Linked DNA regions of Drosophila melanogaster. The protein of the gene in region 1 purifies or fractionates together with the protein of each later gene. This does not show direct contact. Each region holds a gene or a part of one and is shown on either strand. Other genes may lie near its edges. The genes, in order: PolE2 and PolE1.

The links.
Region 2: the proteins of PolE2 (region 1) and PolE1 purify together in Drosophila melanogaster (affinity purification with western blotting, with the first as the bait; one study listed by BioGRID). This does not show direct contact.

Annotation. Positions count from the first base shown.
Region 1 is NT_037436.4:5,894,921-5,899,245, reverse strand, and holds PolE2 (DNA polymerase epsilon subunit 2), read left to right. Parts: upstream 1-1,810; 5' UTR 1,811-1,866; coding exon 1,867-2,572; intron 2,573-2,629; coding exon 2,630-3,501; 3' UTR 3,502-3,555; downstream 3,556-4,325. Other genes in the region: CG5592 (uncharacterized protein), read right to left, coding at 1-637, 695-887, 956-1,598. UniProt on the Drosophila melanogaster protein: Accessory component of the DNA polymerase epsilon complex. Participates in DNA repair and in chromosomal DNA replication. Has a role in the entrance and progression through S phase. Has a role in endoreplication. Essential for viability and tissue development.
Region 2 is NT_033777.3:23,346,191-23,354,366, forward strand, and holds the start of PolE1 (DNA polymerase epsilon subunit 1), read left to right. Parts: upstream 1-1,937; 5' UTR 1,938-2,000; coding exon 2,001-2,071; intron 2,072-2,132; coding exon 2,133-2,259; intron 2,260-2,321; coding exon 2,322-8,176.

The DNA.
Region 1 (4,325 bases):
CATGGGCAAGGGACGATAGTAGCGGTGGGTGCTGAGTACAAGTGGTGAGAGTAGGGCACCCATCTGACCCATAATATTGATAATAGCCAGTCCCTGACCGCGCAGCACGGTTGGCAGTATCTCAGAGGCCCACTGTTGACCCACATTGTAGGCCATTGTGGCGAAAAATCTGGCTGCAATCGCTGCCGTTGATGCATTCCAATGTCCTTTTAGAATACCAACGAAGAGACTGGATGCTGCACACAATAGCATGACAGCCGACATCATGGGCTTGCGACCAATTCGATCTAGCAAAAGCATTGGTACGATTCCAGCAGGAATTTCAACGAGCGAGGAAAGGGAAAAGGTTATAAATATATCTGTGTCCAGGATTTCGACTACGCGAACATGGGCATCGTATGCTAGGGCCACAGTCATCCATGTGACAATCAAAATCGTTAAGACGACGAGCCTGGGAAATGTCTTAAAGAGATCCAGACTGGTGTACTGCTTTCCCAATTGCTCGTTGGCAAATTTAAGTTCATAGCATTCCCGCATCTCGGACCAAACCTCTTCGGAAATGATTTTTCCATTGGCTTTGGCCGCTTCTTTCATGACTTCAATACACCGGTCCACTTTACCCACCGACATAAGCCAACTGCAGTGGGAAATGAAGTTTAGATAGCTTGAAAACCTATTGTTATCATTAATTTACCTTGGTGACTCTGGAGCCAGCAAGCTGGTCAATATCATGAATACAATTGGCAGGGCAACGACCATGGCATAGTGCCTCCAATTACTGATGACATAGGCCAGCCAGGGAAGCAAGCAGGCGCCCAAGGTGAAGAAGAATGTGAGGGCTAAGTTCCCCACCAGTGTGCGATACTTGATGCCAACGTTCTCCAAAGCTGTTGAAAAGAATGTGATGATGATATTTAAATTTATGATTTATGTTAATTGACTCTGCAACACTCACTTAGAATATAAATGGGAACGAAGCAGTAGTTCATTGACAGTCCAGCCACAAATCGGCTGGCAGCAAAGCAGGGAAAGTCCTTGCAGACCACACTTACGCAACCGCCGATCATGGAACAGGAGTTGGCCAGAAATAGTGCAGGCAAGCGACCGGAATGATCGGTTATGAATCCAAAGCAGAGGCAACCAACAATACAGCCCACAAAGTAGACAACGACGCTATATGTCCCGAAATCCCTTTTGTCGCACACCCAATTGTACTCGGTAGCGATGGACTCGTAGGGCACCTCCTTGCGATCATAGATCCAACCATTGTTGCAAGGTATCGGGCTCCTTGTCTGATTCGCATCGTTGGTCGCATTTGAGTCGTAGGGCACATTGTACATAAAACAATTCTCGAAACTGCCATCTTGCTTTTTGGGGATTCCCCGATTCTTTTGTTCACTTTCCGGCAGTCCCTCTAGTTCTCGTACTCTGCACCAGTGATTCTTTGGCAACAGTATCATAAATATCTGACCAAAGTAGGTGAATGCGAACAGAAAGGCGGCGGGCATCATCCAAAACAGCAGTCGCTTCTGAAAGGGGCCAAAGTCCCCAATGAACAGCAAGAAGTTCTCATACTTTTCACAATCTCTGGGGGGCATTTCGACATTTAATATTATAAATATGTACTAAACAAAAGCCAACTTCTTTAAAGCCCTCTTTTTGAACCTTAAATAGTTAAATATATGTTATTTTGAATAAACCATTCAAATATCAACTTTTTGAACTCCACTTTTTTCCGCCAATTTTCGATTACTTTCTAGGCCTTCTATTTTAGCTTCATGTTCGGCTGGTCACACAAATGCACATAGATATCGATAATTGACAACATCCATATCTAATTTGCGCGCGAAAAAACTTTTAATAACAATGGATGTGGATTTACTGCCGCTGAGAAAGCGAATAACAAACACCTTCAAGCTATGTGGATTCCTGATCCGCTCGGAGAACAGTTCCTACCTGGCGGAGCAGCTGCTACCCTTTGACGCAGCGGAACGGGACAAATGGCTGACGGTGATCACCGAGAATCTCCAAAGCCAAAAGCTTTTGACGCCTCATGTGGAGCGAGCCGCCCTGGAGAAGGCCATCAATGAACTTAACCGGGTGGGATTGGATGAAGGGGAGACGGTCTTTGCCCTGATCGATGCCTTTACGGTGCCCCGTTTTCGGTACAACCAGCGGATAAAGAAATTCGAACTGGACACTCAGCCGCGCCAGTTGCTGACCGCCCCGCGCATGAAATCGGACTACATGCAGCAACGATATGCCATGTTACTACAGAAAACTCTGCGACACGATCTCTTTGCCCCAGCCGTCATACAGGATGGCGTTGGGGCCGAGGCCCAGGCCAAGAAATTTAAGCTCCAGTTCGCGGAGAACCTGCTGGCCACGTCGGCGATGAAGGAGGCAGTTGTTTTGGGGCTACTTACCCAGCTTAAAGAGGGCAAGTTCTATGTCGAGGATCCCACGGGTTGCGTCCAGTTAGATCTCACTGGAGCCCGTTTCCATGCCGGCTTCTTCTGCGAGGGCTGCTTTGTTTTAGCCGAGGGCAACTATAACAACGGTGTGCTCAAGGGTAAGTAGCCCAAAGTATTTAATAACTACATCTCAAGAGTTTCTTATGTTTCCCCAGTTGATGGCCTGGGCTTTCCACCTGCGGAACCGGCAAACAGCAGTCGAGCATTTTTCGGCACCGCCAACACTTGGGGCGGTGAATCTGCTAAGCTGCTGAAGTACTCAGCCGGACTACAGGAACTGGAGCGTACCAACACGGAAACAACCATTGTTTTCCTTTCCGACGTTCGGTTGGATCTGCCGGTTGTCATGGAGAAGCTGCGCCAGTTGTTCGTGGGCTATGATTCCTGTCCGCCGCAGGCTATAGTGCTCATGGGTCCCTTCACGGCCAGCACAAGGAATCATCATGAACTGAGGCATCACCTGGATGCATTGGGTGGCTTGGCAGCTGGCTGCGAGCAGCTGAAGAAGCAAACGGATCTGATACTCGTTCCCTCGTCCGAAGATCCCACGGCACCTAATATTCTGCCCCGTGCTCCAATTCCCGAATGCCTGGCAGCCGGGCTGCTAAAGGCCTGGCCACGCACCCAGTTGGCTACGAATCCGTGTCGCCTGCAGTACTGCACCCAGCAGATTGTGGTCTGCCGTCTGGATTTGATGGCCAAGTTTTGTCGCAACACCTTGCATTTTCCTGAAGACACGTCCCAGATCGAGCAGCATTTTGCCAGAACGATTGTGTGCCAGGGTCATTTGGTGCCCATTCATCCGATTGCCATGCCAGTGCACTGGGACTACGATCCTGCTCTGTGGTTGTATCCACTGCCGGATCTGATTGTCATGGGCGATTCGTGTCAGAGCTTTAGCAGCAGTCAACATGGCTGCACTGTTCTCAATACCGGCTCCTTTGTCAAGTCCAAGTTCGCATTCAAAGTGTATATACCAGCGACGCGAACGATTGAGGACTCGGAGATACCGGACGAATTGGAGTAGTTATGATATAGTTAACCTTAACGTAAGTTTGAATAATTATTTAATTACATATGTCGATTACTCTTTGGATTTCGGGCTATTTGGGCAATTTTTTTTTTGTTTTAAACAACTGCAAGCCTATATTTAGAAAGAATACCATCAATTTAACAATTTGGATATAAACTTCTTTCGGGAGCTTAGCTCACTGCGACCTCACATGTTGCTTGGCCCGCCAGCTCGAAACATTTTTCGGCACCCAGTGCGTGTGGCTGTTCCCTCGTGATAAGCGGCCCAGTCTCATCATCACCGTCGTCAGTCATCATATGCGCACAGCATGTGTTCCACAATCGTCTCCTGGCTGTGCGGCTGACGCGCCTCGCAATCTGCTTTTTACGGCGACCGGGGGTTGTCTATTACTTTTCATGACTTAAAGCCGATTTGGAAAAATATTGTTACTCTGCCCGATGCCGGCCACTTAGGGTCGTGGAAATTCAATTTCCCAGGCTGGCGCGCAACTCCTCGGCAGCTGAAACGGCAATTTTGATAATGCGTTTGACCTGAGGACATCGATGGCCCCCATTTGCTGTCACATGACCAGTTGCCGAATCGTTTTTTTAAGACATCATTAGCCGGGTAGGATGTGGAAGTGGGGAGGTTTTTTTTTCCTCCTGCCGAACGGCTCGAAGCGTTTTGCTCTCCTATTGATTTATGATTTATGAGTGCAACTTGGCTAGTTGTATGCCGCACGTCCCTGGGATCAATTTCCAAAATGTGTCCACCATGAGTGTCAATTCGATTTGGTGGGCGTGGTCAGCCTTGGGTGCTAACTATATTTTCATTTTATC
Region 2 (8,176 bases), on another chromosome or scaffold:
CCGACGTTGGCGCAGACGCAGCGTTGACGCCAACGCCGACGCACCTTCTCTCTCCGTTTCTCTCTCTCTTTCTCTCCGCTGCTAAGATTAATATTTTTTTGTGTTGCTCTGGCAAGTGATAACAAAAATGGCAAATAATATGAAAATCGAGAGTTATATCAATCTGACTTATAAACATTATTCGCTATTTTACTTGATCGCTGGAATGAAAACGAAAAGGCGTGGGTGATCCTCAATCTCGCTATCTCTTTCGCACTCGCACTAGAGCGTGCATCATGAGCGCAAGAAAAAAATGGAAATCAGAATTACATATTTCGAGCAGCAAAAACAAAGTGTTTGCAGCGACAAAAAAATAGCAACAATTTATAAAAAAAATCTGCTTGCTCAGAACTCAGTGTAAGTGCGAATATGCGAGAGAGTGTGTGGGTGCGTGTATGTGTGTGTGTGTGTGTGTGCGGGCGATCGTTTTTGGCAAGCATTTAAACAGTGCCCAAAATCACTAGTATATTTAAAATATTTAGTATGCAAAGGGGGCGGAATAATAAAGACAAATATTTTAAAATTTGGCAGTCTCAGTCTTTCAATTGTGTACACTGATATAAAAATTTATTTATTTTGATTCTGGATTTTATACAAATCTATATTTTTGACAAATAAAGTAAATTGGTCAAAATATCAGTTCCAGCTTATTTAAAAGGAAAATTATACTAGTTTCTTTGTTATAATAATTAATAAAATATTTATTTAATATGAAATAATACCTATATGAAAATTTTGATGTGAGATTAAATTATCAACTTATTATTATCATTATTAAAGTTTGCACACAATGTGGGAAAGCTGCAGCTTGGGAAAATACTTTTGGACACCCCAAAAAAAGTTAAGCGCGATATTTTCCCACCGTGACCATGACAACCACTGTGCGTTCGAAAGGCTCTCTCTCTCTCTCTCTTTCGCGCAAATCAAAAACACAAACAGGTTTATGTGTGCGGAGAGTGTGTGCGACAGAGAGCGGCGATATGGAACTGAAACGACTGCAATGTTTTTATATTCCGGCAACGCATTTCGCATAAATTACAAATTACACAGCATAAGTGAATGCAAGTGCAGGGGCGGCAGTCAAATGGCCAGCTGCACCCAGAAAAAGGGCAATAAGATTCGGGATAACAAAACTTGATGGCGTTCCCGATTTTCCCGGCCAAGGGAGCGTATATGTACACATAAAAAAAAAAAACTTAACCAGCCTTGCATAACGAAACACGTGCAATAAAAATATGGCTGATTGTCAACCTCTGCTGCAACTTAATTGCTGCCGCAGAGGTAAAACTGAAAAACATAAAAGGGGGCGACAAGTGCAGCAAGCGAAAAAAAAGAACTCAAAGAGCGCATGCGCGCCGCTCTCCCACTCTCTCTCCCTCTCTCCACTGCGCTGGAATCTTACAACTCGTGTAGGTGAGCCGGATTTTTATGAATGAATGCGCCTGTGTGCGTGACTGCATGATGCCATTGCAGCGGAGAACTAGTAGAAAAAACTTCACATTTCAGCAGTTGGAAAACACATGGCCAACAGGCCAACTCAATTGGCCAGCAGCTGTCCTTAAATTGTCAGCAAATAGGGCATTTAATGCCCATTACAGGAAAATTATAGCTAAAATGGTCAAGCTGTGATGAAATAAACATAAATATTATATTTTATGATTTCATCAGATTTTAAGCATTATTTTTTTAATTTGTGTTAGGTGGAACTACAAAGCTAAGAATAATTGAGGATTTCTAGGTAAAACTTATATTCTTAAAACCATTTAATAATTTTCTTGTTTTCTTTTATTTGTAGTAACATTTTGAAATTGGCGCCAAACGTGTTACTTTACAGTGCTGTGCAACAGCTAAATGTCAGCATTCTCTGCAACGCGTTAGCACATTTCTGAGACGTTTGCAGATTTTTGGCGGCAACAAGTTATTTACATTTATTTATTTTATTTCTGCTAAACAGCACGGAAATGTCCGACTCCAGCAAAGGCAAAGTGCTGCAAAATACGGGTAAATTCGTCAGCGAGAATCGCACAGAAGGGTGAGTGGTCAAAGTTCGTGAATTTCACGCTGAACAAGATATTTTCCAATCTTATCCACAGCGACGACTTCTTCAATGAGGCGGGCTATCGTCAATCCCGGGAGAACGATAAAATCGACTCGAAATATGGCTTCGATCGGGTTAAGGACAGCCAGGAGCGGACGGGCTACCTCATCAACATGCATTCGGTAAGTTAGGAAGCCCATAAAACGTTGAAAATCATGTCCAATAATGGCTATGCCAATTGCAGAACGAAGTTTTGGATGAGGACAGAAGATTGATTGCTGCCTTGGACCTGTTCTTCATCCAAATGGATGGTTCCCGCTTCAAATGCACGGTGGCCTATCAGCCATATTTACTCATCCGACCAGAGGATAATATGCATCTGGAAGTGGCGCGATTTCTGGGTCGCAAGTATTCCGGCCAGATTTCTGGACTGGAGCACATAACCAAAGAAGATTTGGATCTGCCCAATCATCTATCCGGTTTGCAGCAGCAGTACATAAAACTTTCGTTTCTCAATCAGACAGCCATGACCAAGGTTAGAAGGGAACTCATGTCCGCGGTGAAGAGAAATCAGGAGCGACAGAAATCCAACACATACTACATGCAAATGCTGGCCACCTCGCTGGCCCAATCCTCCGCAGGTTCCGAGGATGCCACATTGGGTAAGAGGCAGCAGGATTACATGGATTGTATTGTGGACATAAGGGAGCATGATGTGCCTTACCACGTCAGAGTGTCCATCGATTTGCGCATCTTTTGTGGACAGTGGTACAATATCAGGTGCAGAAGTGGCGTGGAATTGCCTACGATCACCTGCCGACCGGATATTCTGGACAGACCCGAGCCCGTGGTCCTGGCCTTTGATATAGAAACCACTAAGCTGCCCCTTAAGTTTCCCGATGCCCAGACGGATCAGGTTATGATGATCTCGTACATGATCGATGGTCAGGGTTATCTGATAACCAATCGTGAGATTATATCATCCAATGTGGACGATTTTGAGTACACTCCCAAGCCGGAATTCGAGGGTAACTTTATAGTATTCAACGAAGAGAACGAGATGCAGCTGCTCCAGCGCTTCTTCGATCACATCATGGAGGTGCGTCCCCACATCATTGTTACATACAACGGCGACTTCTTCGATTGGCCCTTCGTGGAGACGCGTGCTGCAGTGTACGATCTGGACATGAAGCAAGAGATTGGCTTCTCCAAGCTACGGGATGGCAATTATCTAAGTCGCCCTGCCATACACATGGATTGCCTATGTTGGGTGAAACGAGATTCTTATTTACCTGTTGGATCTCAAGGCTTAAAGGCGGTGGCCAAGGCTAAATTACGCTATGATCCTGTGGAACTCGATCCGGAGGATATGTGCCGCATGGCCGTGGAACAGCCCCAAGTGCTGGCCAATTACTCTGTATCCGATGCGGTGGCCACATACTATCTGTACATGAAGTATGTGCATCCATTTATCTTCGCCCTAAATACGATTATTCCCATGGAACCCGATGAGATCCTAAGAAAGGGTTCCGGCACACTCTGTGAAACGTTGCTGATGGTGGAGGCTTACCATGCCCAGATTGTGTATCCCAACAAGCATCAGAGTGAGCTGAATAAGCTCTCCAACGAGGGACACGTACTGGATTCGGAAACCTATGTGGGTGGTCATGTGGAGGCTTTGGAATCGGGTGTTTTCCGGGCGGACATACCATGCCGTTTTCGTCTAGATCCTGCTATGGTCAAGCAACTGCAGGAGCAGGTTGATGCAGTTCTGCGCCACGCTATCGAAGTGGAGGAAGGCATACCGCTCGAGAAGGTCTTGAATCTGGATGAAGTGCGGCAGGAGATTGTGCAGGGGCTACAGGGTCTGCACGATATACCCAATCGCTTGGAGCAGCCGGTCATCTATCACTTGGATGTGGGTGCCATGTACCCCAACATTATTTTGACCAATCGCCTGCAGCCCTCGGCAATGGTTAGTGACTTAGATTGTGCCGCCTGTGACTTCAACAAGCCAGGAGTTCGGTGCAAACGTTCCATGGACTGGTTGTGGCGCGGCGAGATGTTGCCCGCCTCCAGGAACGAGTTTCAGCGCATTCAGCAGCAGCTGGAGACCGAGAAGTTTCCACCCCTTTTCCCTGGCGGACCACAGCGAGCCTTTCACGAGCTCTCCAAGGAGGATCAGGCGGCGTACGAGAAGAAACGTCTGACGGATTACTGCCGCAAGGCTTACAAGAAGACCAAGCTAACCAAATTGGAAACGCGCACTTCGACCATCTGCCAGAAGGAGAACAGCTTCTATGTGGACACGGTGCGAGCTTTTCGCGATCGTCGCTACGAGTACAAAGGACTAACCAAAGTGGCAAAAGCATCGGTGAATGCTGCGGTGGCTTCGGGAGACGCGGCAGAGATCAAGGCAGCCAAGGGCAGGGAGGTGCTCTACGATTCCCTGCAGTTGGCCCACAAGTGCATCCTGAACTCCTTCTATGGCTACGTGATGAGGAGAGGAGCCCGTTGGCATTCCATGCCTATGGCCGGCATTGTGTGCCTCACGGGCTCGAATATTATCACCAAGGCGAGGGAAATTATCGAGCGAGTTGGTCGACCACTCGAATTGGACACTGATGGTATATGGTGCATATTGCCTGGCTCCTTTCCGCAGGAGTTTACCATTCACACGAGCCATGAGAAGAAAAAGAAGATTAACATATCATATCCGAATGCAGTGCTAAACACTATGGTTAAAGATCATTTTACCAACGATCAGTACCACGAGTTGAGGAAGGATAAGGAAAACAATCTACCCAAATACGATATTCGAGATGAGAACTCTATATTCTTCGAGGTGGATGGACCCTACCTTGCCATGGTGTTACCCGCTGCCAAAGAGGAGGGCAAGAAGCTGAAGAAAAGATATGCGGTCTTTAATTTCGATGGCACACTGGCTGAACTCAAGGGATTCGAGGTGAAGCGACGCGGTGAACTGCAGCTGATCAAAAATTTCCAGAGTTCCGTCTTCGAAGCTTTCCTCGCTGGTAGCACACTTGAGGAATGCTATGCATCTGTGGCCAAGGTGGCGGATTACTGGCTTGATGTACTCTACAGCAGAGGATCAAATCTACCCGACTCGGAGCTATTCGAACTTATTTCGGAGAACAAGAGCATGTCCAAGAAGCTTGAGGAGTATGGCGCCCAAAAGAGTACGTCCATCTCCACGGCCAAGCGATTGGCTGAGTTCCTGGGCGAGCAGATGGTAAAGGATGCGGGTCTGGCTTGTAAGTACATTATTTCGAAGAAACCCGAAGGAGCACCCGTCACCGAGAGAGCTATTCCCTTGGCCATTTTCCAATCCGAACCGAGCGTGAGGCGACATCACCTGCGTCGCTGGCTTAAGGACAACACCATGGGCGATGCGGATATACGCGATGTGCTCGATTGGAACTACTACATAGAGAGATTGGGTGGGACCATTCAGAAGATCATAACCATACCGGCGGCACTGCAGGGACTGGCCAATCCAGTGCCCAGAGTTCAGCATCCGGATTGGTTGCACAAGAAAATGCTGGAGAAGAACGATGTGCTCAAGCAGCGTCGCATCAATGAGATGTTCACCAGCAGACCCAAACCGAAACCTCTAGCCACAGAGGAGGACAAGCTGGCCGATATGGAAGATTTGGCTGGTAAAGATGGCGGTGAGGGTGCTGCAGGCTGTCCGATAGTCACCAAGAGAAAGAGAATCCAGCTGGAGGAGCACGATGACGAGGAGGCACAGCCGCAGGCCACCACTTGGCGTCAGGCCTTGGGCGCTCCACCGCCCATCGGTGAAACCAGAAAGACCATCGTTGAGTGGGTGAGATTTCAGAAGAAGAAATGGAAATGGCAGCAGGATCAGCGCCAGCGTAATCGCCAGGCGAGCAAGCGAACTCGAGGCGAGGATCCGCCGGTGGTCAGAGCAACAGGATCCACAGCTACACTGGGCGGATTCCTTAGACGTGCACAACGCACCCTGTTGGACCAGCCGTGGCAGATCGTACAGTTGGTGCCCGTCGACGACCTGGGCCACTTCACTGTGTGGGCCTTAATCGGCGAAGAGTTGCACAAGATCAAGTTGACGGTACCGAGGATTTTCTATGTAAATCAGCGAAGTGCAGCTCCTCCAGAGGAGGGTCAACTTTGGCGCAAGGTCAATCGAGTTCTGCCACGATCCAGACCTGTTTTCAATCTCTATCGATATAGTGTGCCCGAACAGCTCTTCCGGGATAACTCGCTGGGCATGCTGGCGGATCTGGCGACGCCCGACATTGAGGGCATATACGAGACGCAGATGACGTTGGAATTTCGCGCCCTCATGGACATGGGCTGCATTTGCGGTGTCCAGCGCGAGGAGGCACGTCGCTTGGCCCAATTGGCCACCAAGGATCTGGAAACATTTAGCATCGAGCAGCTGGAGCAGCGGCCCCAGACTCAGGTCAAATATTTGGCTAGCGCCAACAATCGATTGCGCAAAATCTACTTGTATCAGCATAACACACCGACGGCCAAGAAGGAGATCTGGTCACTGATCCTAATGCCCAGCAAGAAGGCATTTGTTTTTGCCTTGGACACAGTGCGTGCCAATCAAATGCCGAACATGAGGCAATTGTATACCGCCGAGCGTTTGGCCCTGCTCAAGAATCTGACGGCAGAGGAGCAAGATAAAATTCCTGTAGAGGATTACACATTTGAGGTTCTCATTGAGGTGGATGTCAAACAAATTTACCGGCACATACAGCGGGCACTGACCACCTACAAACAGGAGCATCAGGGACCCACCATTCTGTGCCTTCAAACGGCGCTGTCGGCGCGTAAACTCAGCCTGGCCATGCCGATCCTGCTGGAGTTTCCCCAGGCTGAGATTCATATCTCCGATGACGCTAGTTTGCTTTCTGGCCTTGATTGGCAGCGACAGGGCTCCAGGGCAGTGATACGCCACTTTCTGAATCTGAACAATGTTCTTGATTTGATGTTGGATCAGTGTCGCTACTTCCATGTGCCCATTGGCAATATGCCGCCGGATACTGTGCTTTTCGGAGCGGATCTTTTCTTCGCTCGCTTGCTGCAGCGGCATAACTTTGTGCTGTGGTGGTCGGCGAGTACCAGACCAGATTTGGGTGGCCGGGAGGCGGACGACAGCCGGCTGTTGGCGGAATTCGAGGAGAGCATTAGTGTGGTGCAAAACAAGGCCGGTTTCTATCCGGATGTTTGCGTGGAGCTGGCTCTGGATAGCCTGGCGGTGAGTGCCCTGCTCCAATCGACTAGGATTCAGGAAATGGAAGGCGCCTCATCTGCCATTACGTTCGATGTGATGCCGCAGGTCTCGCTGGAGGAGATGATTGGCACTGTTCCGGCGGCCACCTTGCCGAGTTATGATGAAACGGCCCTCTGTTCCGCCGCCTTCCGCGTTATGCGCTCCATGGTGAATGGTTGGTTGCGAGAGGTATCCATCAATAGGAACATCTTCTCGGACTTCCAGATCGTGCACTTCTATCGATGGGTGCGCTCCAGTAATGCACTACTCTATGATCCTGCTTTGAGAAGATCTCTGAATAATCTGATGAGGAAGATGTTCTTGCGCATTATAGCCGAGTTCAAGAGATTGGGCGCCACCATTATCTATGCGGACTTTAACAGGATTATCCTTAGTTCGGGTAAGAAAACCGTTTCCGATGCCCTGGGCTATGTGGACTACATTGTGCAAAGCTTGAGGAACAAGGAGATGTTCCACTCCATCCAACTGAGCTTCGAGCAATGCTGGAACTTTATGCTCTGGATGGACCAGGCAAATTTCTCGGGAATTAGGGGAAAGCTACCAAAGGGAATCGATGAGACAGTGTCGTCAATAGTTTCCACTACCATGATACGGGATTCTGAACGCAATCAAGATGACGACGAGGATGAAGAAGAGGATTCGGAAAACCGTGATCCAGTGGAGAGCAACGAGGCCGAGCAGGATCAAGAGGATGAGCTGTCCCTGGAGCTCAACTGGACAATTGGCGAACATCTGCCCGATGAAAACGAGTGCCGCGAAAAGTTTGAATCCCTGCTGACCCTCTTCATGCA